4 linked regions of the Saccharomyces cerevisiae S288C genome follow. Changing the gene in region 1 together with any one later gene gives a genetic interaction. Each region holds a gene or a part of one and is shown in the gene's direction. Other genes may lie near its edges. The genes, in order: YLL054C, YJR142W, ECM33 and YPR096C.

Evidence for each region.
Region 2: mutations in YLL054C (region 1) and YJR142W together harm fitness more than expected from each alone (negative genetic interaction), as found in Saccharomyces cerevisiae (2 studies listed by BioGRID).
Region 3: mutations in YLL054C (region 1) and ECM33 together harm fitness more than expected from each alone (negative genetic interaction), as found in Saccharomyces cerevisiae (2 studies listed by BioGRID).
Region 4: mutations in YLL054C (region 1) and YPR096C together harm fitness more than expected from each alone (negative genetic interaction), as found in Saccharomyces cerevisiae (2 studies listed by BioGRID).

Annotation. Positions count from the first base shown.
Region 1 is NC_001144.5:29,128-38,941, reverse strand, and holds YLL054C (uncharacterized protein), read left to right. Parts: upstream 1-3,737; coding exon 3,738-6,269; downstream 6,270-9,814. Other genes in the region: FRE6 (putative ferric-chelate reductase), read left to right, coding at 1-1,609; AQY2 (Aqy2p), read left to right, coding at 2,581-3,030; YLL053C (uncharacterized protein), read left to right, coding at 2,981-3,439; YCT1 (Yct1p), read right to left, coding at 7,238-8,833. UniProt on the Saccharomyces cerevisiae protein: Required for growth on non-fermentable carbon sources.
Region 2 is NC_001142.9:695,202-698,838, forward strand, and holds YJR142W (uncharacterized protein), read left to right. Parts: upstream 1-1,939; coding exon 1,940-2,968; downstream 2,969-3,637. Other genes in the region: HIR3 (Hir3p), read right to left, coding at 1-495; IPA1 (putative polyadenylation protein), read left to right, coding at 705-1,748; PMT4 (dolichyl-phosphate-mannose-protein mannosyltransferase), read right to left, coding at 3,125-3,637.
Region 3 is NC_001134.8:388,550-397,440, forward strand, and holds ECM33 (Ecm33p), read left to right. Parts: upstream 1-4,573; coding exon 4,574-4,631; intron 4,632-4,961; coding exon 4,962-6,193; downstream 6,194-8,891. Other genes in the region: PFF1 (Pff1p), read left to right, coding at 1-667; ECM8 (Ecm8p), read left to right, coding at 1,678-2,742; SLM4 (Slm4p), read right to left, coding at 3,256-3,744; RPG1 (translation initiation factor eIF3 core subunit a), read right to left, coding at 6,834-8,891. UniProt on the Saccharomyces cerevisiae protein: Required for proper cell wall integrity and for the correct assembly of the mannoprotein outer layer of the cell wall. Important for apical bud growth.
Region 4 is NC_001148.4:722,563-730,232, reverse strand, and holds YPR096C (uncharacterized protein), read left to right. Parts: upstream 1-5,088; coding exon 5,089-5,391; downstream 5,392-7,670. Other genes in the region: mitochondrial 54S ribosomal protein mL43 MRPL51, read right to left, coding at 20-442; YPR099C (uncharacterized protein), read left to right, coding at 120-476; TMH18 (Tmh18p), read left to right, coding at 705-751, 848-1,286; LEC1 (Lec1p), read right to left, coding at 1,618-4,839; Arf family guanine nucleotide exchange factor SYT1, read left to right, coding at 5,516-7,670.

The DNA of each region.
Region 1 (9,814 bases):
CTTCGTCATAGTGGGTATTATCGCCGTCTTCTTCCATATGAGTCACTATAACGGCCTGAATCGAGCGCTATTTGCAAGCCGGTTCGTCAATTATATTCGGGGCCATTTTGTGTTGCCTACGTTTTTAGTAGATAAGCACGCTAATCACTTCAAGTTTCTAAACGTGGAAGTCTTTACGGGACTGATGCCGAATTCCTTGGAGGCATGGATCATTTTTGGATACACATTGGCGAACATCATATTTTTGTCCATAAGTTACATCATAGACCCATATAACCTCATTTTCAACAGTCACCTGTCGCAGTTTACAAGACTGTTGGCTGATAGATCTGGGATACTGGCGTTTACTCAGTTCCCTCTCATTATCATTTTTACGGCAAGGAATAGTTTTCTCGAATTTTTAACAGGAGTCAAGTTCAATTCCTTTATTAGTTTCCATAAATGGATCGGTAGAATCATGGTCTTAAACGCAACGATACATTCGCTTTCTTATTCATTATTCGCAATTATCAACCATGCCTTCAAAATAAGCAACAAACAGCTCTATTGGAAGTTTGGTATTGCATCCATAACAGTGCTTTGCGTTCTACTAGTTCTATCGCTCGGAATAGTAAGGAAAAGACATTACGAATTTTTCCTGTACACCCACATCATACTAGCCCTTTTGTTCTTTTACTGTTGTTGGCAACACGTCAAAATTTTCAACGGTTGGAAAGAATGGATAGTGGTATCCTTGCTCATTTGGGGGCTGGAAAAGCTTTTCAGAATATGGAACATTTTGCAGTTTAGATTTCCGAAAGCAACACTAATCAATTTGAACACCAGCAACAACCCGCACGATGAAATGTTTAAAGTAATCATACCCAAATATAACCGGAGATGGCATTCGAAACCGGGTCAATATTGTTTCATTTATTTTTTACATCCATTGGTATTTTGGCAATGCCATCCATTTACCATTATCGACGAAGGTGAGAAGTGTGTTTTAGTGATCAAACCTAAAAGTGGTCTCACTAGATTCATTTATAACCATATTTTGCAATCTTTAAATGGTAAATTACAACTCCGAGTGGCCATTGAGGGACCTTATGGGCCCAGTAATCTTCACCTCGATAAATTCGACCATTTGCTGTTACTAAGTGGAGGAACAGGCTTGCCTGGTCCATTAGATCATGCCATTAAGCTGTCACGAAACCCTGATAAACCCAAGAGTATAGATTTGATCATGGCGATCAAAAATCCTTCTTTTCTTAACGGCTATAAATCCGAGATACTAGAGCTAAAAAATAGCCGATCCCACGTCAACGTGCAGGTTTACCTTACACAGAAAACAGCTGTTACAAAGGCAGCAAACGCACGAGACCAATTAATACATTTTGATGATATAATGACCGAACTGACAAGCTTCGCCCACATCGGCAATGCAAGACCTAATTTTAGCAATGTAATTGAAAACGCAATAAAAAGTACGCCGCCTGGAGATTCATTAGCGGTCGTGTGCTGCGGCCCTCCTGTTCTGGTGGACGATGTTAGAAACACCGTTTCTCAAAAACTCCTCGGTTACCCAGAGAGAATTATAGAGTATTTCGAGGAATATCAGTGTTGGTAAATCTTCTCTCCGGCTCCTTCTGATCCTACGCCCACCTATATCTACATATATCTACGGCACTAAAAACTTTTATGTACCGCATAAAAGGTGCTCTTTAGCAACTATTTTTAGTTAATTATTTGCGTTTTAGCTTTCAGGAATTTGCTTGCTAAGACGATGTCTAATAAATCCGGTACTTCTTTACTTGCAATTAATTACTAAGCGGCGCCTGAATTTTTCCGGCTTGATGCCGAGCAAAAATTAACTCTAAATCCCTTTCTGGGAACGAGTCTTTGAAGTTCTACGGTCTTTTGTCTCAGGAAAATATGTCCCGAGAAAGATGGAATAAGTATGGATTTTGTCCTTAACCAGTGGAGGTGGCGCTGCAGTCCTTCTTTTCAGACCCAAGCAAACAGACCAAAGGACATTTTTTTGGAAAATGTTAAGAATCAACCCTCCGAAATCTTTTCACGGCTCAAATTACTGCGGCCTTTTTCTGCTTCTTAAAAATGGGAGCATGATTATTTAATTAGCATTGCATCTGCGTGCACCGTAACTACTACAGTACTTTTACTGCCGCTGAGACGACAGCACGATCTGTTTTAACGTCGTAGGTGTATTTTTTTTTTTCCCGCTAAAAGAGCACCGCCATAATAATGACTTACCTCCTCCAATCCTTCTAGATGTTTTTCTTTAAACTCCTACAGTGAATTAGATTATTGCAAGTGCAAATTAAAAAAAAACCTAAAAAAAAAAAAGAAGGAAATAGTTTTTGTCCATACCGGACTATGGCTTTCATTAACGAATTAGAGCGCCGCTGTTATCCTTTTATTAACTTTTTATCGTGAATCATATCTGCCCCTCTCTCGGTTGATAGTATAAATATGTTGGTTTTAGTAGCTTATTAGTGTGCGCATGTCTTTTTTCTTGTTCCTGGCTATTACAATTCCTGAAAATATTCAAAAGCGACACTAGCCTACCTTAGTTATACTATGTCTAACGAATCTAACGACCTTGAAAAAAACATTTCGCACTTGGACCCGACCGGTGTTGACAATGCTTATATTCCACCTGAACAGCCGGAAACGAAGCATTCGCGTTTTAATATTGACAGAGATACCTTAAGAAACCACTTTATCGCTGCTGTGGGTGAGTTTTGCGGTACCTTCATGTTTTTATGGTGTGCTTACGTCATTTGTAATGTCGCTAACCATGATGTGGCTTTGACAACCGAGCCTGAGGGCTCTCATCCAGGTCAATTGATCATGATTGCCCTTGGTTTCGGTTTCTCTGTGATGTTTTCTATCTGGTGTTTCTGGTGGGGCTTTGAACCCAGCCGTTTCTCTCTCTTTGTGTTTGGCCAGAGCCATCTCACCAGCCAGATGTGTAGTGATGTGGTTTCCTCAGATCATTGCTGGGATGGCTGCTGGTGGTGCCGCTAGTGCTATGACTCCAGGCAAGGTTCTCTTTACTAATGCTTTGGGTTTAGGCTGTTCCAGATCTAGGGGGTTGTTTTTGGAAATGTTTGGTACTGCTGTGTTGTGTTTAACAGTTTTGATGACTGCTGTTGAAAAACGTGAAACTAACTTTATGGCTGCGCTTCCAATTGGTATTTCTTTATTCATGGCTCACATGGCTTTGACCGGTTACACTGGTACCGGTGTCAACCCTGCAAGATCTCTGGGTGCCGCCGTTGCTGCCAGATATTTCCCTCATTACCACTGGATCTACTGGATTAGCCCACTTTTGGGTGCCTTCTTAGCCTGGTCAGTGTGGCAATTATTACAAATCCTTGATTACACTACATACGTTAATGCCGAAAAGGCGGCAGGTCAAAAGAAGGAAGACTGAGAGTAGTCTGCTCAGAATTTTATCTTTTTTGGCATAACGCTCCCATCGTAGTTTAATTTAATTTAATTTAATTTAATATAATAATATCTTATTTTTCATATTTACTGTCCTTTATTTTTTTTTTGTTTTTATCTCTTCTGGTCAGAGTTCTGTTTTTACGTAAGCGGCAGAAGTATGCATTCTTCACATTTTTTCCTCCTAAAGGCAACATTGAGGCCAAACTTTGGAAACAAAGATGATGTGAAGTAATTATTTACCCATCAGAAATCTATGACAAGATAAGTGTACTGCACTGGATATGAGCATTGCATCTCAGAAAAAGGTTAAGCCATCGTTTGTTTGCTTGCGGTGTAAGCAAAGGAAAATCAAATGTGATAAACTTTGGCCTACTTGCTCCAAATGCAAGGCCTCATCCTCGATTTGTAGCTACGAAGTGGAACCAGGACGGATTAACAAATCTCCCACTATCGAAAATGCCCCACATAGAGACATTAGAAACATTACTCCTGCATCGATGTCCGCAAGTGGTTCCTTTACTTCCATACTTAATCCAAGTACTAAAGACTGGGAAATGAAAAATTTTGCCATGAATTTATCGAATGCACACGACAAGCTTGTTGTAATGAATAACACAACCATCGTTGATAGTCCTTTTGCCTTCCATAGCATTCTTCAACATGATTTGTATGCGAAGGCCTTGACCACCTGCATACATGAGAGGATACTGATTGATGTCGAACGCCATCGTGAAAACGTTTCTGCCAACAATAAAAAAAGAGAACTTAACTTAACAATCGGTGATATTGGACCTTTGTTTTTTATTGATAAAGCTGCACTTAAATTTATTGAAAATACCTCAAAAACAAGCAAATTGTATCCTCCAATAGATTTTCTGTATAACACGTATGATTATGAACAAGCGCATCCTGAAGAAAATAATGATAAAATTTCCATAAACATCCTTTTGGAAGAGTTATCCAAATATTTCCTCAATAAGAATGAGGTTGATGGCTTAATCGTGGACTTTTACAAAACAATATATCCGGTCTATCCGTTACTGGAAATATCATTATTCGAAGATAACATAAGGGAGCTGTTGCAATTGAATGAATTTAATGGGTATAACATTGTATTTGCGGGCAAAGACTCTAGAAGAAAACTGGAGACAATAACACTGCTAACTATCATATTGGCTTTTTCTTACAGACGTTTGAGTCTAAGTACTAGTCATTCATTTAAAGAATCTTTTGGTGTAAAATCGAATAATTTAACGCTACTCGCTCATAAACTTCTTGCTCTCATGAACGTTTTTCAATATGTTAATGAACATACACTTTGTTGTCTGCTCTATTTTTTCATATTGCGGTATTTGAATCCAGATCAAGCTGACATGTATCCTACTCACAGTGACATACTAAACCTAAAATTTTTGGAGAATGTAGCAATAAAGCTAGGACTGAATGAAGAACCCTTCCAATACACTCGATACGTCAGCGAATCGGACGATTATCCAAGATTATTCAATTTAAGAAGGAAATTATGGCTTGGCGTGCAATTTTTGAAGTTTGGAATATTGATTCCAGAAGGAGATTCTGACATTCTAAGTTTGGAATATTTAAGATCCTTTATGAAAACTGACGAATCTCTACCAGAACTATTTGAGAGAAATTACGCTTCTACTAATAATCTAGACTTATCGTTGATGGCTACAGCAGAGAATATCTATCATTTACATTTATCTTTACAGGTATTACTGACTTCTTGTTTTCCAATAAATGGCCCTTCCTACTTGAAGGAAGTATTGGATAACATCGACAAGACAAAAGATTTTTTAAATCAGAAATTCCCTCTCATTTTAAGTTCTCTTGGAGAACCAAGGATGAAGAGCTTACATATCAATGTTCCCTCTTCCTTAGCAAATGAAGAATCTTTTGACTTTAGCACTTTTGAGGAAAATGAAACATTCATAGCTAATGTGATTAGCTACACTTGTACAATGAACATCTATGATAGCTTATCTTTGCATTTTGAAAATCAATGTTTCAAAAACGCTTTGGAGTACAAAACATATTATCACCGCTTTACTTTTACCGCTATACAAGATTATTTAACGTTGCTAAAATTAATCTCGGAATACTTTAATGGATCTCTTCTGCATTTACGGGAACCTTTTGGGTTTGCCACTCAGAAAGTTGTTCGCTTTTCGATACATCGATTACTCATATTCCAGGCCACCTTGCTCGTGAGATTATTTTATAAGAAGGATACATGCGACAGATCCTCTGCAGCCATGGGAATGTTGAATGATAGAAACGGAAGACTTAGTCGAGTCATTGAAAAAATGATCAAGTTGATGTCATATCATATGAAATTACTTGTAGAAATTGTTATCTCGAAACTGGAAAAGAGTTATCTCGGTTCGTTCATTTCTGTCTCTATTTTCAGGTATATCATTTATTTGGTGGATACTGACGCGCTGTCTGCGTTTATATCCGACTACTGGAAGAGTGACGCCGTTATGGATGAAAGATATTCAAGAATCCATAGGATTGTCGGTTTAAAATGGGGTATGGGAAGGGATAAGTCCTTTTCGTTCACATCAAAATTAAACAATCCACAATTCTTGGGAAGTCTTGATTTGGAGATTTTGGAAGAATTAGAAAAACTCATTTCCGCACAAGAATTTTCCAGAAACTTCACTGAAGATGTTGACGAATCTTTACAGAGTGAAATTGACCTCATGAATTATGACAATGAAGCCTTGAATCAACTAATGGCAATTGATCTTGATAAGCTACTTGGAATTTTCCCTAACCTGAGTAACTTTTGAGGGGAATACAAATTTGAAAGATACGAGGAGAAAGTTAGTAAACTAATGCTACTTTTAGTCTTCTATTTTTTTCGCAAGCACGATCATATAATCAATACCACACAAAGATTTTTGGTAGCTACGGTCCTAAGAAAATTAAATTCCCTCTCTAATCTGGGTGAGACCGGAATCGCATCAGGTCTTATTAATATGGGGTCAATTTGAAGAATTCAAACTATTTTTTAAACTGTTGTGACAATTCTTTAGCACAAAGAGTTCAATTTTGAAAATCTACCAATGTATATAATTTTTGCCGTTGTATTAGACAGGTTGTGCTCACTGTATATAGTCTCATTTAATAAATTTTTTTTTTTGAAGTGCAAATACCCTCAGTTGACATTCCAAGAACTATGGTTACCCACGAAAAACATCAATATGTTTTGAATTGTTATGTAAATTATCATTTACAAATTTTCTGGGCATATTGCATACCGAGGTATGTAATTTCAGCAAACTCGAGTGCTGCTTTCCATCCATACGGACAACTCAAGAACAAATGGGTACAATATAGTTGTCATTATTATGGCAAAAATATTGAGGGTTCAAAGGTTTTGCGTATTTTAACCACAGGCTAGAGGGGTTACTAGTCTCTGTCTTATAAAATGTTAGATTATAAAGTACAGAGAACAAATATCTACATGTTTTTTATGCTAAATTTGAAAGTTTAGGTGATTTATTTAAGAAAAACTAATCTTTAATGGACTTTTACCGGCTGTTTTGAAGAAATTGTCAAGAAATTCCTCTATAAATTTATTCAATTATCTATTATTTTCTAAGCAGTAAGCTATTTACCATTGTAAATGATTCTTTGGGAAATTGTGCCTTTCAAAGAGACACAGTTCCTCTTTCTTGCAGCCGGAAAGTTTAAAAAATTAATTTTCTAATTATTAAGTGTCAGATAGAACATTTACACAACAAAACATCAATATTTACAAAGGATATATAAAAGTTTCGTTTTCTAAATCAGTCAAATCAAAGACTGCCAAATTGTTCTCGTGGGTTACCACTTTCCCTTCTTCAATGGAAGAAGGATTTTCGCTTTCAATGAGTTGAATTCTGTCCAAATAATTTTGTAAATTTTCGTCATAATTTTTTAGTCTTTGATTATTCCTTCTTTTTAGTATGAAATGGATCAGTAACAAAATGGCTGGTGCAAGAGAGAATGATAAAACGATTTGAACAATCCAGGCAGGTAAAAAGCGAGGAGAGTCCTTCTCTCTCCATATTTGTGGTGATATGATATTAGCAATTCCCATCGCAAATAAGGACACCGAACTTCTTGTGAGTTTTTTGGTGTACCCAGATGCACTTGAACTTGCCCAGCTAAGAGCTATAATAAAAGGAATACCAAATATTTGTCCTGCCATACAGATATTTGCTAAGATACCAATCTTATTGTCCCATGGTAAAGCAGCTGCAGCGATGGATCCCACCAATGCTGGTAAAGTCCAAAAGATGGCTGTTAAAGCTGAAATATTTTTCCATTTTGCTAACATCAACGTAGCGATGAAGGCACAAACGACGGCGAAACCAGCACCGGCAACTGATACCAATGTCGAACCTAGAGCATCAACTCCACCCATTCCTTCAAATAGCAGGTTCTGTTGATAGGGCAGATTGTTGGCTAACTGTTGAAGAAGAAAAAACAATCCAAATAACCAGGTTATATAATCTTTCATTGCCTCTCTGAATTGACTCTTTTTGAAGACTTTTTGTTCAATGGAAGAGCCTGTGGATGCCTGAACTCTCCTGATAATCCATACCCTTTCTTGTATTGAAAAGAATTTCACATCAGCAGGATTATTAGGAAACCACAGAATTACAACAACCGTCATGATAAAAGTCAAACCACCAATGATGATAGTGAATATTTTCCATAACGAAATGCTGGGATTTGTTATATGAAGAACACCATAAGCAATAAACCCAGTTGGAATTGGAGACCCCATACATGCTGCAAAGAAAAATGGCTGAGCAGCAGCTCTTTCTGAAGCATCGAAGAACATACCCATAGTGGTAATTAATATCGGGATAACAACACTCTCTGTTAGCCCCAAGAAAAATCTCAACGCAACGACACCGGAAAAGTTGTATGCGGTACAACTTAGGAAAATAAGTATAGTCCATGTGGCCAACAACCCACCCAAGAATTTCCCAAGTGGTAACTTTTGAGCCAAGTATTGTCCAGGAAATTGGCCGATTGCAAAACCAACGTAAAACAGCGTATTTACAGTATTGTAAGTATTTTGGGTAAGACCTGTATCTTCAAAGAAGCCTAGAATCGAATCATAGGATAAAGTGGCTTTGTCCATGTAAAGTAAAAGGTTAATGGCAGAGACAAAGGTGAATATTGTGAGAAAAAGCTTTCTCTTTAATTTTTTTTCTTGTTCAGGCGTGATTTCTGGAACTGCTGCGTCATTCTCCTCCATGAATGCTAGCGTAACATCAGCGAGTCTCGAAGGAACTAGGATTTCATCAGAAGAGGAGATCGAGTCTGCTCCAATTTTTACGTCAACTTTTGACATTTCTTTTTTGTTATATTTTCTTTTTTATTTTCTCTTGATGTTTTGTTCAACCTTCAAGAAGTGCAACCTGAATAGCTAAATGTCGAATCAATCGTCTGTTTAAGTACTTTGATTTTTCCGACCTCTTCAATTCAACAGGTACGCATTTTTAACAATACCTATTCATCTTGACGTCCAGTTCCTAGGGACCTGCGAAATGTTTTAGCTATCTACATATTACATCACCGTTCCAGTGAGGGGAGCCACCGTAAATGGAAGAACTTCGAACACTATTGCATGCTGCAAAGACGTGCCTTCGATGCTCAGTGACTGAAATGTACAAGGGGTAGCCAGATGTCTTACATCAAATGGGGTGCCTATTTTTTTTTTCAGAAGCCACACATTTTTGTTTCTGCAATGCCACCTGCGACTTCGAAAAAGATTCGCGGAGAGTTAACAGTCATCGCCACAAGTCTGGTCCTTATCGGCCAATATGGGTGGCGCTATGTACGTTGTGTCACACTATTTTAGTCAGCAGCGCAGACCAAAGACTCCGTAACATCACAGAGAACTTTGATTATCCGTTATCTTGTTAAGTTTTCGCCGCAAAGCTCGGATGCTGAACTCGGATGTTGAACTCGGATGCTAAGAAGATATCCGTGATTTGCATCCGAGCTTGGCGTACTATTGCTATAGTGGTAGCCACAATTTAGAATTGATACTCGGAACCAGCAAGGGGCAGATGGATTGAATGTAGTTGATCGCGTGTCACGTGACCAAATCGTACTGGTAAAGAACTGAAAGCACACGCAAGTAGACAAAATCAGCATGTCATTTTTTCTGAAGAAATCTTTCATAAAACTATGAGTCTTCCCAATCAGGTGTGGTGAATATCCAGATGCTCTGGCCAATCTGTAACATGGTGAGGCTTAAGAAATTTTTTACATACTGGTCAGAGCACGATTGATGGTGCCATGACTTTCCGCTTTCGCCATTGCGAAG
Region 2 (3,637 bases), on another chromosome or scaffold:
AAGTGAAAGATTTTCCTGCTTAGTGAATTCATATTCTGATATTAAACGTTCCAACTTGACACTATTAAAGCTCTTGAAGATGCGAGCCAGCAAATCTGTAACTGCAAAATCAGCATCGCTATGTTGAATAGACTCAACCAAGTTCTCAACTGCTTTTAAAATACAATTAACTAGTTCTTGTGAGTTCAACCTTTCATAGTTATTCTCCAAATACAGATGATAGTACATCCCTCTGTTCCTATAACATAGATATCGCAGGTTATCTAGCGTAGGAGAAGAATTGCGATACATGCCCCACCTATCAGGCTTGACGACATCAATCTGGAAGAGCTCTTGGAATTTGCTGTCCGACTTTTCGAAGTCCTTGTTTTTTAGATCAATCAGAGCGTCCTGCAAAATATTAAAACTCTGTTCTATTTGAAGCTCTCTTGAATGCTCCTCTGCTTCATATTGTTCACCTTCGATGTTTGAATTGAGGGCATTGAACATAGACATAATAAGCTTTATCTAGAATCTGTGTTGAGGTTCTAACTCCTTAAAGTGCCTTTACGGACCTGCCTTGCTACCGTCTATTTGTATTTCTGCTCTTCCCAACGTAAACAATTCAATAAATAATTTCGCGATGGCACATAGTAACAAGCTGTTAAATCGAAGTAAAGAAAAGGAAAGTCAAGAAAACAAAGAGAGAAACAAATGCAAGGGTGATGGTTCAATATGTGGTAGAATGGTTACCAAGGATACAGAGCATTTCAGTGGTAGTAGAAGGTTGGAAGCAGGTGGAGATAAAGAACTTGAAGGACACACTCATGAGCATATCTGGTGATGAAGAACAAGTTGAAGATATTTTACTTCCAGTAGAAGTTGAAGAAAAAGTAGACGCTTCTTACAAGTTCAAAAACAGAGGTAAAGACTTAGAATGGATGACGAAGTTAAGAAGCAAATCCTCTAAGATATATGACAGTTCTATCATGTCGCTTCCAGATGGAAGATGGACTAAAGAAGAGCTTCGCTCAGATTCTGATTTCTCGATAGAATGTCTTAACTGTAAGCAAAAAATTATAAGCAAAGATAACTGTCAAGTTTTGAATGATATGCCTTCAGAGTTTTGGTTCGAGTTAATGGATTATTGGCATTGCCACAAACCCGATGTTAAGGAAGACAAGTCTTCCTACACAAGATTTGAAACGCTAAAACCATCTAAAAACGAAATTTTAATTGGAAGCTCTTATTTTCAAGGCACTCCTGCGACTTTTGAAAATGTAGCGACTACAAAGGAAAATGATAATGTTTTATGCATAAAGTGCTCAGCAGTGTTAGGCCAAGTAACTGCTGGTTCGCTTTATAAACTACACAAATGGAAACTGCAGTTAATACGCAGTGGAAACACATACAAATTTCCTCCAGAATGTGACATTACAATTTCTTTAATAAACGTAGTTAAGGCAAACTCTTGTCGTTACGTACTAGTAAAATGTAAAACGGAATCATTGCTAGTTTGGATATTTTCCGTTGACATTGGAGTCACATTGACGGGAAACAAAAGCTTCAAGAGAGCGATGAAGTTGCTTTACACAAACAGCGTTACCACAATAAATCGATGTCTCAATCGACAAGTCGTCGAGGAATTAGATTTCCAAGAAACATCGTTTAATGCTTTTTACAGCGCCCTTCAACATACTAATGCACTTTTACCCTCAAGCATGAAAAAAATTGGTGAATGGACCATTAGCTATACATCACTAATCTAATTTTAAGAACCATTCTCTTTCAAATTTGTACAAATATTGTCATCAAGTAATAAATAGCTTCTTTTTTTTTTTAACATACAGTTGTAGAATTAACTTCGTTGGCCGAAGAATTGCACAACAATAGCGTTTGTTATATTACTAAATATAGGGGCTTTCTTGGGAACGAAAGTGAAACAAACGCTTTTAATACAATGAAGGTCGAGAAATCATCTAAAGGCTTGGAAGTTTTAGTGAGGACACAGGAGGATGATCTAGAGGGGTTCTCTTTCCTGGAGATTATGGACCGCGTAGACCCTTTACCATTAGACTTCGAGAATTACAAAAATTTCAAAGAGGGCATTTACTATATGTGTACACACGATGGCACAAAGATCGGTTTCGTGTTGAAATTTGCGATAAATGAAATGGAGACTGTTTGCTCGGAAATCTTCGAAGAAACCTTCCAATTAGATGAATCTAGACATGAGTTAAGGTTTAAAAGTGAAGATTTTGATCATAGAAACAATCTAATTGACCAATTGGCTCGTAAAATGTATTTAGAATCATCCTTGAGTGGTGTGAAGGGCTGGAGAAACGAGAAATATGCCGTTTGGGTTAATAAAAAACCCTATGTACTGGTTGAGCGTGCAGTAGCAGGTGTTCTTGGTATAATTACCTACGGGATTCATATTAATGGTTATGTGCTAGATCCAAAGTCAAAAAAAGTTCAGTTTTGGGTTCCAAGAAGATCTAAAACGAAACAAACATGGCCGCTAATGCTTGACAACATTATCGCCGGGGGATTAGGTTATCCTTATGGTATCTATGAAACAGTTTTGAAAGAAAGCATGGAGGAAGCCAATCTAGAAAAGAGTGTTATTGAGGATAACATTAAAGCAACTGGTTCAGTTTCCTACCTTTACTTTACGGGTGATATTTCTGTAACGAAGTTCAATAAGGAATCAGATTTTATCGTAGGGGAAGTACAATATGTATACGATCTAAAACTCAGCGAAGACATCATTCCAAAACCAAACGATGGTGAAGTCGAGAGTTTCAATTTATTCAGCCTGCAAGAGACGATTAATGCTTTAAGAAAAAAAGAGTTCAAACCAAATTGTGCATTGGTAATGGTAGATTTCTTGATTAGACATGGCTACATCACTCCAGAAAATGAGCCCAATTATCTTGAACTAGTAACTAGAATGCACAGAAGGTTACCATTCCCCACCTTGAATTAACATTCAAGAGGTTACCGGTTGATATCTAAACAAATATAAAGAATTTTTTTCATATATACACATCTAGGTACATACTATCTAAGATCAAAAGTACTCTATTTTGTCACTAAACGGAGGAAGGCGTTCAGTTCGTTTGTGGTTAGTGAACAGAAAAAGTTACTTGGAGAAATTTAATTCTATGTCAAACCACTCTCTAGAAACAACTTCCGATGGTGACAAGCTGACATCTCCATACACTAGTGGTGAAAAGTATACAAAAAACCACGCAACAGCACAGGAGACACACACCAAGAAGACGGTATAGGGTTTAACGTAGACCTTAGGGTTCCGTTCATATGATGCACCTGAAATATCCTCGTCTTTCTCCAAATCCAATGATTTGCAATCACTGAAAATTACTTCCCATAGTGCTCCTGAGAATAAGCACGCGATTAAATGAGCTGGTAAGTAATGATGCAAAAACTTTTGACGCGCCATTAAAAAGAATGGAAAATAATGACAGCACCAGGAGACGAAGAAAAACATCAATGGGCCATACAGCTTTTCTCTGGTCATCTTGTTTAGGGCATAATAGCCACGATGTCTAGTAATTAAATCGGCCACGATAATGCCAACAAAAACAGCCAATGATATGACTTGGAACCACCACCCAATGATGTTACCAATGAA
Region 3 (8,891 bases), on another chromosome or scaffold:
AGATTTACCAAGTATAAAATATAGCTCTACACATATTAACTGTACTTCCGTAACCAATGGAATGGAACTTTGTATGTATGATGGAATGCAACCTAATTTATTGAGCACGAATGGAAATACGAACATCAGCAGTATGGTCAAGGTTCATGTTTTACATAATAACCGAAACTCAACAGAGAGATCTCCTTACGAACCAATAGTTGCAGAGTTACTTTTGGAGGTGAAGGAGAACAGGGCTTGCACTTTAACTTTTGAAAGTAGACATCAGGCGAAGTCACCTGTCAGAGAAATCACGGTATATCAAAAGAAAAATTCGGCCCCACAGAAAGCTAATATCACGAAGACGATCAAGTCTGCTTCTGGCATAAACGAACTGCAATTGCATAAACTTGATTTCGATCAGGAAACTTACCATATCGGAGTCCAGTGGTTTCCAAAACTTTTGACGGATGGAAATGTAGAGGATGACAAGTTGGGGACAAAAGACGAACTGTCTGTTTCTATTAGCTGTTATTGGGGAGAATATGATTCGGAATCGGTTGTAAATGGTACCGCTGTTAGGAAAATTCCAGCATTTGATGAATTGATAAATTACGCACCTCTAAGTTTTTCCTTTACCAACGAACAGAAAGGATTAGTTATTGTCAAGGATGCTATAATTTTATAATTCTAATTAGTTTTAAATGTAAATTTTTATAAACTCAAATTCGCCTACTGGGGGAGTTGTCCAAAGGCTTCGCTTCTTCCCACAAGAAGAACAAAATAATAAAAAATATTTTGAGAAATTTTTCGTAACAAAAGGAAAAACTATTGAGTTTAACTTATGAATGTACTTTACTGGCCAAGAATCCGTCTGGAACCATTCTACGGTGCTCTCTTCGTAGCGCTAAAGACAGCTATAGTGGATATTCAGACGGTATTGAAAATCACTAATGATATCAGTTAACAAAGTAAGAAACATGTTTCGTCAGATAAGTTCTACACTGCTGCAAGTGCATACAATGCTCGTTTTTATAAAGTCCTAAATTATATAACCCTCCAGTAACTATTAGAAAATAGCACGCAATAATGCTAGCGATATACAAATAACCTGTAAATCTATATATTTATTAAGTATAAAGATAATGGTCTTGGAAATGGTTCTTCAGGGATTGTGATTGACTATAGCCGGATATCGTTTGGATCAAGAGCTTGGTTAAGCGGATATTTAAGTTATTTTAATATATCGCTTTGTCCAAAAGCAAGTTTTGGAGGTGGGATCTCAATTTACACGATACAGTATTAACCAAATCTTGATAGCAAAAAAATGCAAAATATCGTATAAGTGAAGGCAAAGCATTGTCCAATGTAAGGTTCTGTGCCGCCCTTCCCTTTTTTGAAAGCTGCTAGATATCATTGTTACCCTTTTTAATTTCTACGCTATTCTCGGACGTCATAATTTTATAGTTACTGACACTAAAAAAAGGGTCGTACGTCTTACTGGCAGCGCCGAAAAATGTTTCGAAAATACACCTTAACACATTGAAGTAGTGATGATTTCATAAAAAACCACAAGAATTTGTTCGCTAATACATTAATTCGGTACTAGACTTTATTGACTCGTATATTTCTAACGAATAAATCACCCACTCTTGCTATCCTAACAGTATTTAATATTAGCTATTTAAAAGCCTTAAGATGGACTATGGCTACTTTTTTCCCGCACAACGTATTGAAGAAACAAATGGTGTGGATTTTTGGATAGACAGTAATGCTGAATTTACACAGTCTAAAAGACCTGACTCTTCAACATCCACTCTTTCGAGGGTTTTAACGGACACCACGAATGTATCCAATAATAGTGGATCACTCAAAAGAAAAACCATCAAGAACAAAATATTCCCACAAAGGAAAATATTCAACGATAGCGAAAATTTTGACTTTGGTAAAGCCAACACTGATTGTAAGCATGTGTTTAAAAGTATTTCTAAGCAACTGATTTTTCTTCCAAGGTGTTTCCAACATCACAGTATCCGAGGCTGGATGAAAGACAGATACTCCGAATTTGGTTATAAAATAAAAAGAAATCAAAATTGTCCCCCCTCAGCATGTGTACAGGCACTATACAATACTAGTAGATCCAATACCGAAGAGTCAAACCCCAACAGTCTGGATTCTCTGATAATGTATAAATACATGCGATACTCTGAAAAGAAAAAGGAATTGATGTGCAGATTTTGCCAGGGGAATAATTGGATTCTAGCTGAAAACTACCTAAAACATTTATTCTTTGCGCACGGCATTTTGTCTGAATTTAAGCCTCACACTTTATACCATTTCGAGTCTAAGCTGTTAAAAATCCAGGGAAAACTTAATTTCAAAATTCAAGTATTAAAAGAGCCAGAGTTTAGCAAAAAAATTTTGAACTCTCTTACTGTATCCATCATTCCCTCTCCTTTGGCCTACTACACTCAAACGTTGAACGGGGGATTTAGGAGAATCCATGTGAAATGCCCCCACTGCGAAAATTGGATCCGTTTGGGTTGGTGTGAATACGATGAAATCATTAGGGATTCCTTTCAGGATTTCGAGTCTCTAAGAAACCTCAATGCTGATTATAATGGGATGTCGTATATTCAAACACGCAATAGAGAAGACATTGAAGGTATATACGAGAATTATTTTACACACTACATCCAATGCGACTTAGCCACGTTCCGAACGAAATGTTTATATGTCCAAGTTATAACAAAAAGCAATTGATTGTGTACGCAAGATATTAAAAATAAATGATCATATAACAAATCAAACAAAATTTGCCGCTAGTAACGAACTAAACGATTACGAGACGGCTGATAAATACTAATATTCACCATCCTAGCGAAGAAACGCTTTAAATTTATAACGGTTACCATCCAAAATAATGAACATAAGCAGATCTGGCACCGTAGCAGCTCATTGGGGAAAAAAAAGCTGTCATGTAGGGCCCTCTGAGCATAATAAAAAAAGAAGATGCTTCCGTTCAATAACAGCGATAGGTAGATGGGGGAAAAAAAGGAGAGGAAGATGAGGCCCTTATGTACGTGCATATATATGTGCGAGTGCACGAAAGTGCACCACGGCAATCCGCGTAATCAAGCTTATGTAAATGGCGTGTCTGCGTAAACTCTGTCCCTGCGAAAATGTGTTTATTTATAGACTGTTCGCATTGTTTTTTCCAGCCCCCATCCGGAGACGCATGAAAAGGTGTGGCCTCGATACATATTGTTAAACCCATCAACCTAGCTTGTAGCCAAACAAATCAGTCAACTCTCTCATAGCTCTTTCAATTTTAATTACCAGTAGTCCGTAAGGGAAGCTACCTTCCGCAATGAACAATAGCAAAAGGTCGCTATTGGGTATCTGTGCGACACAGGTATGTAAATCTTCCATTTCGTAAGTATATATTTTTGTCTTAAAGGAGTCGATTTCCACAGGGTAACAGCTATTGGAGTGCTGTTCCTCAGTATCGTTTTCATCCTCTGACCACTTATCCTTAATCAATAAGCTCATCATTTTCAAGTTATTGACCGAGTTTATTTCGTTTATGGAATTTTTCGGTACATCGTTGTTTGACGTCGCATAGGACAGTATACCCCCATTAGTGGCGGTTATAATCATAGACGATTGCAAAGACGATGTCTTGAAGTCTACCGAATGCAAATCATACGGTTTCAAAGTGTTTTCCAGAAACCCTTTAACGTTTTTAGAATGGAGCATCACCATATTGCTTCAATATTTTGGATACCGTTTGCTGCTGATAACTGCCTTTTTTTTTTCTTCTTATCTTCCCTTAATTAATTCATTAGAGTCTTTTTAGCTTATATGCCAAATGAAGCAATTGTTTTTCTTTTTCTTCGTCTCTCTCTCCATATTCACCTGTTACCCAGAGGGCACCATTCATATCATTATCAACGTAAAATCTGCGAATTACCGTAAACCGCAAAAAAAAAAGGATGGCGGGCAGTATCATCCTTCACGACCCGGGTGGCTGCTGCGCCCTCGCGAAAAAGAAATGAAATGGAGTGCAAAAACGGGAAAGACGCGCCACCGTTTCTGGCCCACGCGCTCATTCTCAGTGGCCAGGCACTAGAGACAGGACTGAAACCGCGTTACCACAACAAACAAAGGCAACGTGCAGTAAACAACCATCCCTCCTGGGATCGAAATCAAAAGTACAAACCTCAGATCGAACTGAAAAATTTTCGGTAGCGTGCTTGAGCCGGTATAAATATTCAATGTCAAACACCTACGACTTTTCGCAATCAACGGACCTCTCTTGCATTTTTGTATTTAATATGTGAAGATCTTTCCTCTGCATTTTCTTTCCTTCTTTATCTTTCTTGGCTTTTCACCCTTTCTCTTCTTTTTAGAACATCATCTTTGAGTACTTCGGCCACTTTTAGAAAAGAAATTAAATAAAAGAGTTAATCGTTCATTCGCTTCTACACAGTTTAATCTTTTCCATTTTTCTTTCAACAAGTCCCTTTGAGCTATCAAGAATACGTTTATTTGACTTTTAAAGATCTAGTTTTAATTTTACTATTATTCCGCAATGCAATTCAAGAACGCTTTGACTGCTACTGCTATTCTAAGTGCCTCCGCTCTAGCTGGTATGTACACATTCTCCTTTTTTTTCATCTTTTTTTCTTTATTTGCCTCTTTCCTCACAAATCTCGAGTAGATTCGTGGTCCTCTTCATTCTTTTCTTTTTTCTTTGTCGATTACTGGGCTTTTTTTCATAGGTCTCGATTGACGCGGACGGACAATGCGAAAAAAAAAAATTTCCAAAAGAGGAAACGGGTTTCGAGATCTCGTGAGGATGGTTTTGGAATATTCTTCAATATTTCTGCCTGTCATAGGATTAGGGCGAGTAATGAAACAGAATAATACATGTATAAATCGATCGGGAATACTAACACTACTTTTCTTTATCTAAGCAGCTAACTCAACTACTTCTATTCCATCTTCATGTAGTATTGGTACTTCTGCCACTGCTACTGCTCAAGCTGATTTGGACAAAATCTCCGGTTGTAGTACCATTGTTGGTAACTTGACCATCACCGGTGACTTGGGTTCCGCTGCTTTGGCTAGTATCCAAGAGATTGATGGTTCCTTGACTATCTTCAACTCCAGTTCTTTATCTTCTTTCTCCGCTGACTCTATCAAGAAAATCACCGGTGATTTGAACATGCAAGAATTGATCATTTTGACCAGTGCTTCTTTCGGTTCTTTGCAAGAAGTAGACTCCATTAACATGGTGACTTTGCCTGCCATTTCTACCTTCTCCACCGATTTACAAAATGCTAACAACATTATTGTTTCTGACACCACTTTGGAAAGTGTCGAAGGTTTCTCCACTTTGAAGAAGGTTAATGTTTTTAACATCAACAACAACAGATATCTAAACTCTTTCCAATCTTCCTTGGAAAGTGTCTCTGACTCTTTACAATTCTCTTCCAACGGTGACAACACTACTTTGGCCTTCGACAATTTGGTCTGGGCTAACAACATCACTTTGAGAGATGTTAACTCTATTTCTTTCGGTAGTTTGCAAACTGTTAACGCTTCCTTAGGTTTCATTAACAACACTTTGCCAAGTTTGAACTTGACCCAATTGAGCAAGGTTGGTCAATCTTTGTCTATCGTCTCCAACGATGAATTATCCAAGGCCGCTTTCAGTAACTTGACTACTGTTGGTGGTGGTTTCATCATTGCTAACAACACACAATTGAAGGTCATTGACGGTTTTAACAAGGTTCAAACTGTTGGTGGTGCCATTGAAGTTACTGGTAACTTCTCAACCTTGGACTTATCTTCTTTGAAGTCTGTTAGAGGTGGTGCTAACTTCGACTCTTCTTCCAGTAACTTCTCCTGTAACGCTTTGAAGAAGTTGCAAAGTAACGGTGCTATTCAAGGTGACTCTTTTGTTTGCAAGAACGGTGCCACATCTACCTCCGTTAAGCTATCCTCTACTTCTACTGAATCATCCAAGAGCTCTGCTACATCTTCCGCTTCTTCTAGTGGTGATGCCTCCAATGCTCAAGCTAACGTTTCAGCTTCCGCTAGCTCTTCTTCCTCTTCTTCTAAGAAGTCTAAGGGTGCTGCTCCAGAACTTGTTCCAGCCACTTCATTCATGGGTGTCGTTGCTGCTGTTGGCGTTGCCTTACTATAAGATTAAAGCAACAATTTGTGTTTCTATTATTACTTTAATTTCTTCTCTAATGATTTCTTTACCATTCCTTTTTTATTATGAGACGGTTGGTTCATCACTGAATTTTATATGTAGATAAAATTTTAGTGTCGTTAATATCTCTTTTATTTCTTATTGTTACTATATTATTACTGTTTTGAAGTTCCAGTTTCATCAACTTTTGCTACCTTAATTAAAAGAACCACTCAGACTTTTTACCATCCTTTAGCTTTACCTAATATAATGAAATTTGTCTAAGTAACATAAAAAAAAGGAGTAAAGAAAAAAAAAAAATAAGTAAATGAAATAAAATATAAAAAAATTCTTACTACGGTTTAAAACAAAGTGCTCTTCCGCTAACGTTTCAAGTTTCTAAAGAATCGTTAGGGCCTTTTAACGGATCGCTTTTTTAAAACAGTAAAACGTTATTTATAGTTATTTATACCAACTATTTCTCGAAATTCGTTTTTAAAATAACTGCCATCTTTACTGCTCTTCTGCTCCTTCCTTTGACATGAAAAAGCAATCAGAAAGAAATAGTCTAATAAATTGTTATTATGTACACATACTCTTATACGTATAAAAAACGGTATAAATTAAGTAGATCATTTTGCGTTGTCTGTTACCTGCCCCCCTTGGCCAATCTCTTGGCTCTCAACTTTTCAGCCATAGTCATTTTCTTTGGACCAGAAGATGGAGTTGGGGTTGCTGGGGTTGCTGGAGTAGCTGGAGTAGCTGGGGAGGACCCACCAGCTGTTCTACCGGCTAGTCTCTGTTCGATGGCTTCTTCCATTTCTCTTTGTTTTTGAGCGATCATATCCAATTTAGCTTTATCTGGAGAAACGGTCGCCTTTGGTAGAGTGCTTGGTGTACTTGGAGGTTCCCTGTTTCCTGCGCGGAAAGAGTATGGAGTTGATTTCTTGGCAGCAGCTTCTTCGATTTCTCTTTGTTTACGGGTAGCCTCAGCGAGTTCTTGAGCACGCTTCTGTCTTTCAGCATTTGCAATTTCTTCCTTACGCCTTGCAATGGCTTCCTCGTAACGACGCTTACGAACTTCTTCAATTCTGGCCTTTTTGGCAGCTTCCAATTCAGCCTTCTTTTGGTTGCGGATGGCAGCTAATTCGCTTTCCTTAGTGCCCGAAACATGCTCCTTGAACTTCAAATAATCATCATAGACCATGACCAAGTTCTTACGATCAGCCATTCTGGCTTCGTATTCGGCCTTGGCGGCGTCGACAATTTTTTTCTTCATAGCTTCATAATTTGCTGTGTCTGTTTCTTGTAGCTTGTCAACTTCTTTTTGCAGCAATGGCAATTCGACCTTTCTCAAAGCTCTTTCCGTATGATCTAACTTCTTCATAGCATATTCCATACGACTTTCCAATTCACTCTTGTTCTTTGATACCTCAGCTATAATAACCTGTTTAATGGTGTCAAGATCTAAGCTTTTAGCTTCGTTAGGGTCAATGTAAACATGTCCCTTAGCATTCACCTCAGTAATCATCTTTGTGATTTCTCTTTCTTTGATAGCTTCAAATTCACGTTTCTTCTTTTCAATTAAGCGACGGTGAGCCTCTTCTTCCAATTTAGCTTCAATAGCAGCTTTTTCTTCCAAAATACGCTGTTGTCTGACCTCAGCATCCTGTTCAGCATGTAGGGCAGCATGTTCCATATGTTTTTGCTTTTGCTCTTGAGATCTCTTGACACGTTCGTCAACAATCTTGGAAATCTTTTCAAGGTCATCCTTGTTCTTCTTAATTAAAGTTTCACGGGCAATTCTAACCTTTTCCATGTATGAAGCATTGTTGAAACTGTCAACATCGTGTAGGACATTGGATAATTCAAGCAACTTGTTGTGGATGTAAGAATTGCGGATAATAACAGGATCAGATTCTTCTTCCTTTTCTTCACCGTCTTCAGTTTCTTGTGGCCCAAGAGCTTCGTCAGTTTCCTCCTTTTCTTCTTGGACTTCTGGCTCTGTGTTTTCTTCTTCAGAGACTTCTTTAGAAGCAGTTGATGCGAAAATGTCAAATGGATCTTTAGCGAATGTAACCTTAGCAGATTCATGATCGATGGTAATTGAAACATAATCTTCCACAGCAGCTTGTAACAGCGATTTTTCGATGTCCCAAGCAGATAAGTCTAACGGAGCAGGTAGGGTAGCGAGCTTGTATAATTCGGACTGGGAGACAGTAGTGAATTTTTGAGAGGCAGCAACAAAAACCCTTCTCATAATGACGTCTCTTAAAGGTGCGATGTATTGGCTGAAGTAGGTTTTAGAAGACAATTTGACTAATAAATTTTCCAGCTGTTGTTTCACTGTGTCGACATCAAAGTTAACTTCAATGATATCGTACAATTCTTTCAATTCCTCGTCAACTTTACCATAAATGGATTCGTCTTCAATAATGGATTGCAACATTTCCTTTCTAGTTGGCTTGGCGTCCAAGTTTAATAAACGGTACATACGTAAATGAGGATCGTAGCCAATAGATGGAATTTCGTCTAGTTGGGTAGAAATAGCGGATAGGAAAATTGTAGAAGAATATGTTTTGAATTCTTCTTCCGTGGCTCTTGGATTGGTAGAATATAACTTATAAAACTTCTTCCAGGCAGTAGTGTGCAACAATGGATCACCGGAAACAAAGAAGACCTTTACGAGATTCTCGTAGTAATTAGC
Region 4 (7,670 bases), on another chromosome or scaffold:
ATTTTCTTATATACTAAAGCTAAATTCTATGCCTTTTCGCAGCATGCAGAGGCGACCATATACCCCTCACACTACTGTTCAAGCTTTCCACGTTATCATTCTTTGTTCTTCTGCGTAAAATGTCTCCATCAGAATCCTTCAATAGCTTTAGCTTGTTTTCTACATTGTCAATGTTCAAGTTTCTCACACAAATAACTTTTTCACGCCCATTTGTGTATTCTGCCCTCAACAAAGGATGTCCAGACTTCCTCATCACTTCAAACTGTATCCATGGGAACTCCTGGCCCCATTTATCTAATCTCTTTGAAGTCAAAAATTTCCTCATGCCTTCCGAAGACCCTCCCCAGTTACAGAATTGCAAAGTAATCTTTCTGCATGGAAACACGAATGCTCCAACTCCATTACGACCTATGGAATTTCGTGCAATAGCTTTCACAACCATTTCTCCATATATTCGTGTCTGTGTATCTACTTAGTCATGGTTTATGATAATCGTATTGATTGATCTTTTTTATCTCAGGGCTTATGATTTGTTGTAATTCTTATGAGCATCCCTCATCCGAAAAAGACGGAAAGCACCGTAACGTATAGTGCGATAAACTTACAGAAAAGAATAGTATTATTTAAGGGAGTTAAATGGAGTTGTTTGATGATATAGGCAGATCAAACTACGCTTTACAGTCCAGTAAACTTAACAACGAAAAATGTGTTTAGTCAAAACTACGGCTCATTTGCTTTTTTATTCCTTTGTGTATGTACAGATTAAGACACAAGAAAAAATTTGAACAATTATGATTAATTGAGAATAACTGACTAACAACTTTTATGTACCAACTTAATCTTTCAGATTTGGAGGAACGACGTTTTATTCCTATGTAGCTTCTCCAATCGCATTCAAAGTTCTTGAAAAAGACCAATTTTCTGCTTTGCAAAATAAGATCTTCCCGTATTTTTTCCAAATGCAAGCGGCATCACCTGTCATCCTGGCCCTTACCGCTCCAATTGCCTTGACAACAGGACCATTATCTTCTTTGGTGGTTGCATCTGTCAGTGGGCTAACCAATTTGTTTTGGTTGTTGCCCTGGACCCATAAAGTTAAAGAACAAAGAAAGAATATTGCGAAGAAATACACGGGTAGTGAATTGGAAGCAAAGGATGCTATATTACGTAAAGAATTTGGCAAGTCGCACGGATTGAGTCTTTTGTTCAATCTTTCTAATGTTTGCGGGATGCTTGCGTACGGTGTTTGTTTGTCAGGTGGTTTGTTAAGAAAAATTCCAAAATAATTATTTTACAAGTAAATATATATATGCAAGATCATTTTTTCGTCATTCCTTTGCCAAGGTGGAGATGAAGTTCGCAATCGGAATTTTTTGACCCTCAATTAAAGAATAAGGGACTCAGTTCTCTGCTATCCTGATCTTGGCTAAAAATAACTAAAAGGGGAATTGTGCTGTTTGTAGGATCTTAAAATAAAAGAGAACAATATTTATCTTGAAGTTTTTTCTATTTTTTTATTTCTACAAGCTTTTCTTATATATAGACCTAGCAATCCTATATTATTAAGCCGGAAAATCGTAACGAATAAAAACGAATAAAGGAGATACTAGAAAGGGCCTACTTTTTAGCAATTTGAGCTTCTAAATAATTTTTTAATTCCTGTGCGAAAACTTGAGATCTCAATTTATCAATTTCACTTTCATCAACAACAAGATTCAATAAATCTTTGTATTGCTTTTCTAATTCAACTTCATTCTCTTTATGTAAAAAATCGTAATCACCTGTATCGAGATCCAAATCCACCAAATCACCATCTCCAAGTCCAAAAGATCCAGAGCTGGATGGCATAACCAAGGAGTTTATGTCACTCCAATTCTTTTGAAGTATGCCAGCAGCGTGTTTGTTATTTTGTTTAGTACCTTGTTTAACCTTCAAATCTAACAACTTCTTATAGATTTTTCTCGCACCAATCTTTTTATTAAGAACATTATTAACTTGAACTTTCAAAAGTTTGACATCAATATCGATATCATCTCTACAAATTAACTTATTGAAGTCGATCCTTTCACTCGGTCCTCCGAATTTACTCTTTTGCAAAAATTTCACTATCGTAGTAATCCAAGTAATAAAACCTTCAAAAATGCCCTCTGAATCGTTCAAATATACATCATGAATAAACTCAAAAAAGGCATCTTGATGTTTGGTTACTAAGTTATGGATTTCTTCCACGACATCGAACTGTGTGGAAACGCCCAACTGACCATTGATAACATCATCAACAAGCCTGATCAAATCACTCATGAACTTCTCAAAATTTTTCAAAGCAACATCCATCCTTGCAACTTTGAAGATCTTGACCATAGGTTCGTAAATCATAGTGACAATTGCCTTTAGCATTTGGGTTAACTCAGGATCTTGCCATAGCTGCCTCATTAGCTGTTTATCATGTTCTTTAATATACAATTGCCATAAATCTTTGACGTGTGTGAAATAAATACCTGACTGATCTTCGCTGGTTACATTCAAGGCATCCGTGTCTTCTTTTTGCAGTTTCCATGATGAATAGGATTCAATAAGTCCCGCGACAACCTCGTCTGGAATTAGATTTGCAGCTGCACTTTTCATTAATACTATCAATGGTACAGGCATGTTCATGGATTCGGATTCTGCATTTACTGCGTCCATAGTAAAGAGTTTAGTATCATGCTCATCCTTAGTATCATTATTAAAGACAAAATCCTTCAAGCATTTAGTCACAACTGAAGCGCCCGGGTCCATCTCAGCAATTTTCCTTTCTAATTCCTTTATAGCTACCTTTTGAGTTTTCAAATCATCTGTTAATATCGTAGAAAACATTGTTTGAAGGAGCGAATGACCACCGAAGGGTTGTGCCATAAATAATTCAATCATACCCCTCATGATCGCTATTGGATTAGTAAATTTCATGATCTGTCCCATTACTGTGTACGGCATAAGCTTATGTAACCGTCTTATTTGTGTATAGAGTTCATAACTGTTATCGTTACCCAGAAACATTTGATAAATCATTGAGGAAATATAAATCTTACACCATTCCACAAAGTCTTGTAAAAGTGGTGACAGGTCTTCAACTTTCGTATTGTCCTTGATTTCTACTAGTAGACTCATCAAGTATTTTTCATCTTTTAACAGGGATGTTTTGAAATCTTTCATTGAGTCTTGCAGCTTTAAAGACTTTTCTAACGCCATCTGTTGGAAACGTATTTGGTTCTCCAAATTACTTACATCTATCAGAGCCCTGTTTCTAATGTCATCTGCTATTTTCGGATTTATGTCCTTAATATCTAAATTAGGCCCACTTAGGAAGAAGCGACGAATAGATGAGCTTTGAGAAACCTCTGCATCTTTACACAAAGTCCTTAAATATTGTCTTAATGAAGTTCTCATTTTTTCACCCACCAAAGTATTGATTTTTGAATCGGATGCATCTTTATATTCATCAAAATCACTTTCTTCACCTTCACCTTCTTCCTCATACTCGTCCTCATCAATATTATCTTCTTCCTTGATCTCATTTAGAATATTTTTTCTCAACGTTTCAGTTTCTTTTTCTGTGAGTACTGTTTCTGTAGCAGATAATTCATTCGTTGTCTGTAAAAATGAAGAATTATCAGACTCTGATGCAGATTGTAAATCAGTGTCAAAAGTGTTGACGATTTTTTCCCTGGCTGCTGATTTAGTTTGCCCATTGTGTAACACTTCGGTTTTAGTTATCATAGACGTCACTTTTTTATTTCTATGAGGTAAGCGCGGACATTTCTTCCCCGGAAATTCTGATTTTAAATCATGAGATAGTTTTTTGAAGTCGCTGTATGTTCTTGTCACATAGAAATAACCAGCATGGTGATCAAGATTACTATTCTCTTCATTGCTGTTATCTTGGTCGTCGTCATCTTGCTTCTTAATCTTAATCAAGAAATAATGATGTTTTCTAGATTGCTTGCTCTTAGTTGAAGGCACGCCAAGGGATAATTTCGAAAATAAAGATGCTGAGGATTCGGGCATACTATTTATGGTACTGTTAATAGTGTTGTTGAAGGCATTCTTCATCCATTTAGAAGTGGAAGCAAATGATTTTATAGCATGGCTTTTGGGACTCGAAGTTGGAGTAGATTTACTAGACTTGTCATTATCCACACTTTCAGTACATTTCCGTGAATTCTTATTGAACACGGATATAATATTGACGTCCCAACCGTTAATAAAAACGGATTCGTTAGTGAGCAAATTCTCTAAATTTTCTCTAGTTGGCATTGCAAATTTCTCAATATTAGAGCGTTTTCTCGCTTGGCCTGACTGTAAAACGAATTTATCCTCATTATAATACGCTTGCTCTTGAAAAGAGCCAACACCGGAGTTAAAGAGCAACAAGATAACCTTTGATAGCTTTTTGGAAACTTTCTTCCTTTTTGAAGCTTCCTCCCTGTCATAACTTTCACTAAACCCAAGACTCATGAAATGTTCAAAGAACACTTGAACCTTACTCTGCCAGAATTTTTCATCAACTAGCAAATTTGTTGAAAGTAAAGGAAATGTGGATATAAATTCTTGCAAAACATAACTCAGCATGGGATAATTAACGCTAAAATGGCCTTTGCCACCGAGCACTGGTGATGAATCGTTATTGGAGATAGGCTGTGGAGCTGTCGGATCGTTTGGTGAGAAAGGATAACCGAACTTTCTCAAAGCAAACTGATCGTTAAGCTTTCCAATTTCATAATCCAATTGACATCGAAGCAGTTCCCTCTTCAGGTAGTGTTCTTCCGTTGGATTTAAAGCAGGAGTGTCTTGAGTAATCATTTGAAGACTGTCTATTTTTGATTCTTTAGTACAATTATCTTCAACCACTGATTTCAGTACACAATTCCGACCACAAGGTAAGGTTCGTTTTTCTTTTTTTATAGAGCCCAATGCACAGTAATTGGATGTAGCTCTTAAAAAAGAATGAAAGCTAGAAAGTGATCAATTATTCGAAAAACACTTTAATACGTTCCTTGTTCACGCCTAAAAAGTTAACTGTCAAATGGTTAACGTACATTTATCTGTCTTATGAGAGGCGAAACAGGCGTAAGCATTAAAAACCCAAGGCCATCTCGTCCTTTTTCTTGTTTTTGGCGTAAAGGAGATGTTGAAAATATTAGGAAAAGTGATATAGGGAACGAAAAGAAAATAGACGCTAAGTTCAACAGGCTTCAGTATAATCTATATTACAAGCCTCTCTCGCACCACAAGGCCGGTTTATTGTACAAAGAACTCTTCTTCAGAAGCTGCTTCTCTTATACTACCTGCTCATTAGACTTTCAGGGTAAAAGGCACCAAGTGGAAAGAAAGGCAGTAGATATAGTACTTTGAATTCTTTTGACATCGCAAGGTTACTCGCATCCACTCCCTATTATTTACTCTGTTTCAACTCATTGTAACTTCATTTTCGCTAACTTCCCGCCAGACCAGCTCTTCAATCCACACTTGCCAGATAATGAATCAGTCTATTTCTTCGTTGATTAAGCTTAAATTCCTTCAATCACACAGTAACGATAAAAATGGCAACAAAAAGGGCGGAAGCAATGTTTCAACAGGCATAGATAAATTAAGAGAGTCGGAAAGTTATAGAAGTCCTTTTCTTCAACTCGCAGAAATACAGGAACACACTAATAATGACGACGATAAACTTGATGTAAAAGAATGCGAGCCCACAAAAAAACACAGCAAACTAAGCAGGATACGGCGTAAGATGGGTAGGTTAGACTTGAATTTCAGGTCAGCCAATGAAAAGGGTTCTGAAGATGATGAAATCTTGGTTGCACAACACCTCCGTAATGGACAAGATCCTGAAGAAATGCCTTTCAAATCAGAAAACAACATAGATTCGATAGAGAAAGTTCCCAAGCCCGATGGTGAGAGAGTCACGCTTACTAGCTCCGGGTCTGATAACGTAAAGAGAAATTCAAAACACGCCCCATTCATTCCTGTGAAACCTGCTCTAGAAAAATTTCCTTCTTCTAATAGATTGTCAAGAGATTACAGAAAATCACAAGAGCCTACCCTGTTTAACGGTGATAGATTAGTTCCTACTCTTCCTACTGTGAGTAGGATATCGACATCTTCTTCCGTCGGTTCCTCTACAGCGGCTTCAAGATATTTCAATCCGTCCAAAAGAGCTGTTGTTGCATCATCATCATCATCGTCGTCGTCAATAAAATTCAATTCGCTGCACGCAATACCACTTGATGCAACTCCTCAAATTGAATTGGCAAAACAACAAGATGAGATCTCCAAAAGGAGGTTCGGAAGAAGGCGCAGTAGAACTGTTGACGTATTTGACTATATTAACAAAAACAATACAGCAAAGAACAAACCGCCACTCTCTCCATCTTCTTTTATTAGGACTATTGACGAGAAAAATACAAATTCTCTTATGCAAGACCCCATGGGATCCCGCGGACCTCTTTTGCCCGATGATGCCAATATTATAAGCAATGATACAGATGGAGCGGAAGCAAGTCACCCAGACCATCAGGTTTTATCAAGGTCTCGATCTCAAAGTACGTCTTTTGTTCAAGGCAAGGGCGGCAAGAGAAAATCAATTGAAGATGAAGGCTACCATAACAAATTGGGCCTACCTCATGGATCAGGCCCTACTTCAGTTTACAACAATAAAAGCAATGCCAATTCAACTATTACTGGAATGTCAAGAAGAAGTAGCTCAATTGTGAATGCTTTAAGTAGTTTTGTTAACCTTCGCTCCTCCAGTTTATCATCCTCTAGGCAACAGCACCTTCAACAACAACAGCAGCTACAACAAAAACTGGATGTCTCGCTGGAAGATCTACCACCGGTTCCCGCGCCTGAATTTAGTGATTCTTGTAAGGACTTCTTGATTAAATTAGCGCCCTACGGAAAGTTCATTGGGATCATTTTAACGGAAAAAGATGATGAGTTCAAAAAAAATTGTTTAAACTACCTATTAACGAATTGCTTCGAATTTAAAAATGACCCTTTAGATATTGCCCTGAGGAAATTGTTGATGTTTTTAGAGCTTCCAAAGGAGACGCAGCAAATTGATAGATTGATAATGGCTTTTAGCTTTGCATACTATAAGGCCCAAAAGAGCTATTCTAAGAAAAAAGGAATTGAGTGCCCCTGGTCTAATGCAGACCAGGTGTATTTTATTGCATTTTCCTTACTAATGTTGCACACTGATTACTTTAACCCCAACAATAAAAGCAAAATGACAAAGCATGATTTCGTGGATTTAGTCCATAATGACAAATACTCAGGAGGTAATGAGATCCCTATGGCCGTTTTGACATATTTTTATGAGAATGTGACAGCCAAAGAGTCGCCGAAATTTAATTACTTTTTGATGTCACCAATGGCGTTGGACGATAGCATCCTTGATAAAGATGCATTTGACACAAATTTTGCTATCACATTATCTTCGAATTCGATGTATTCTCCCATAGACATGATAAAAAGGGGGAGTATAATACCCAAGGAAGCTTCCCTTTCCCCAATCTTTTATCCGCTAACGAATTCAATTAGTGCATCTGGTATTGCCCCATCTACGGCGGCTTCTTGCCCACCAAGTACGTCGGGTACTATAAACGGGGCCAACCTCGGAACGGCTAACA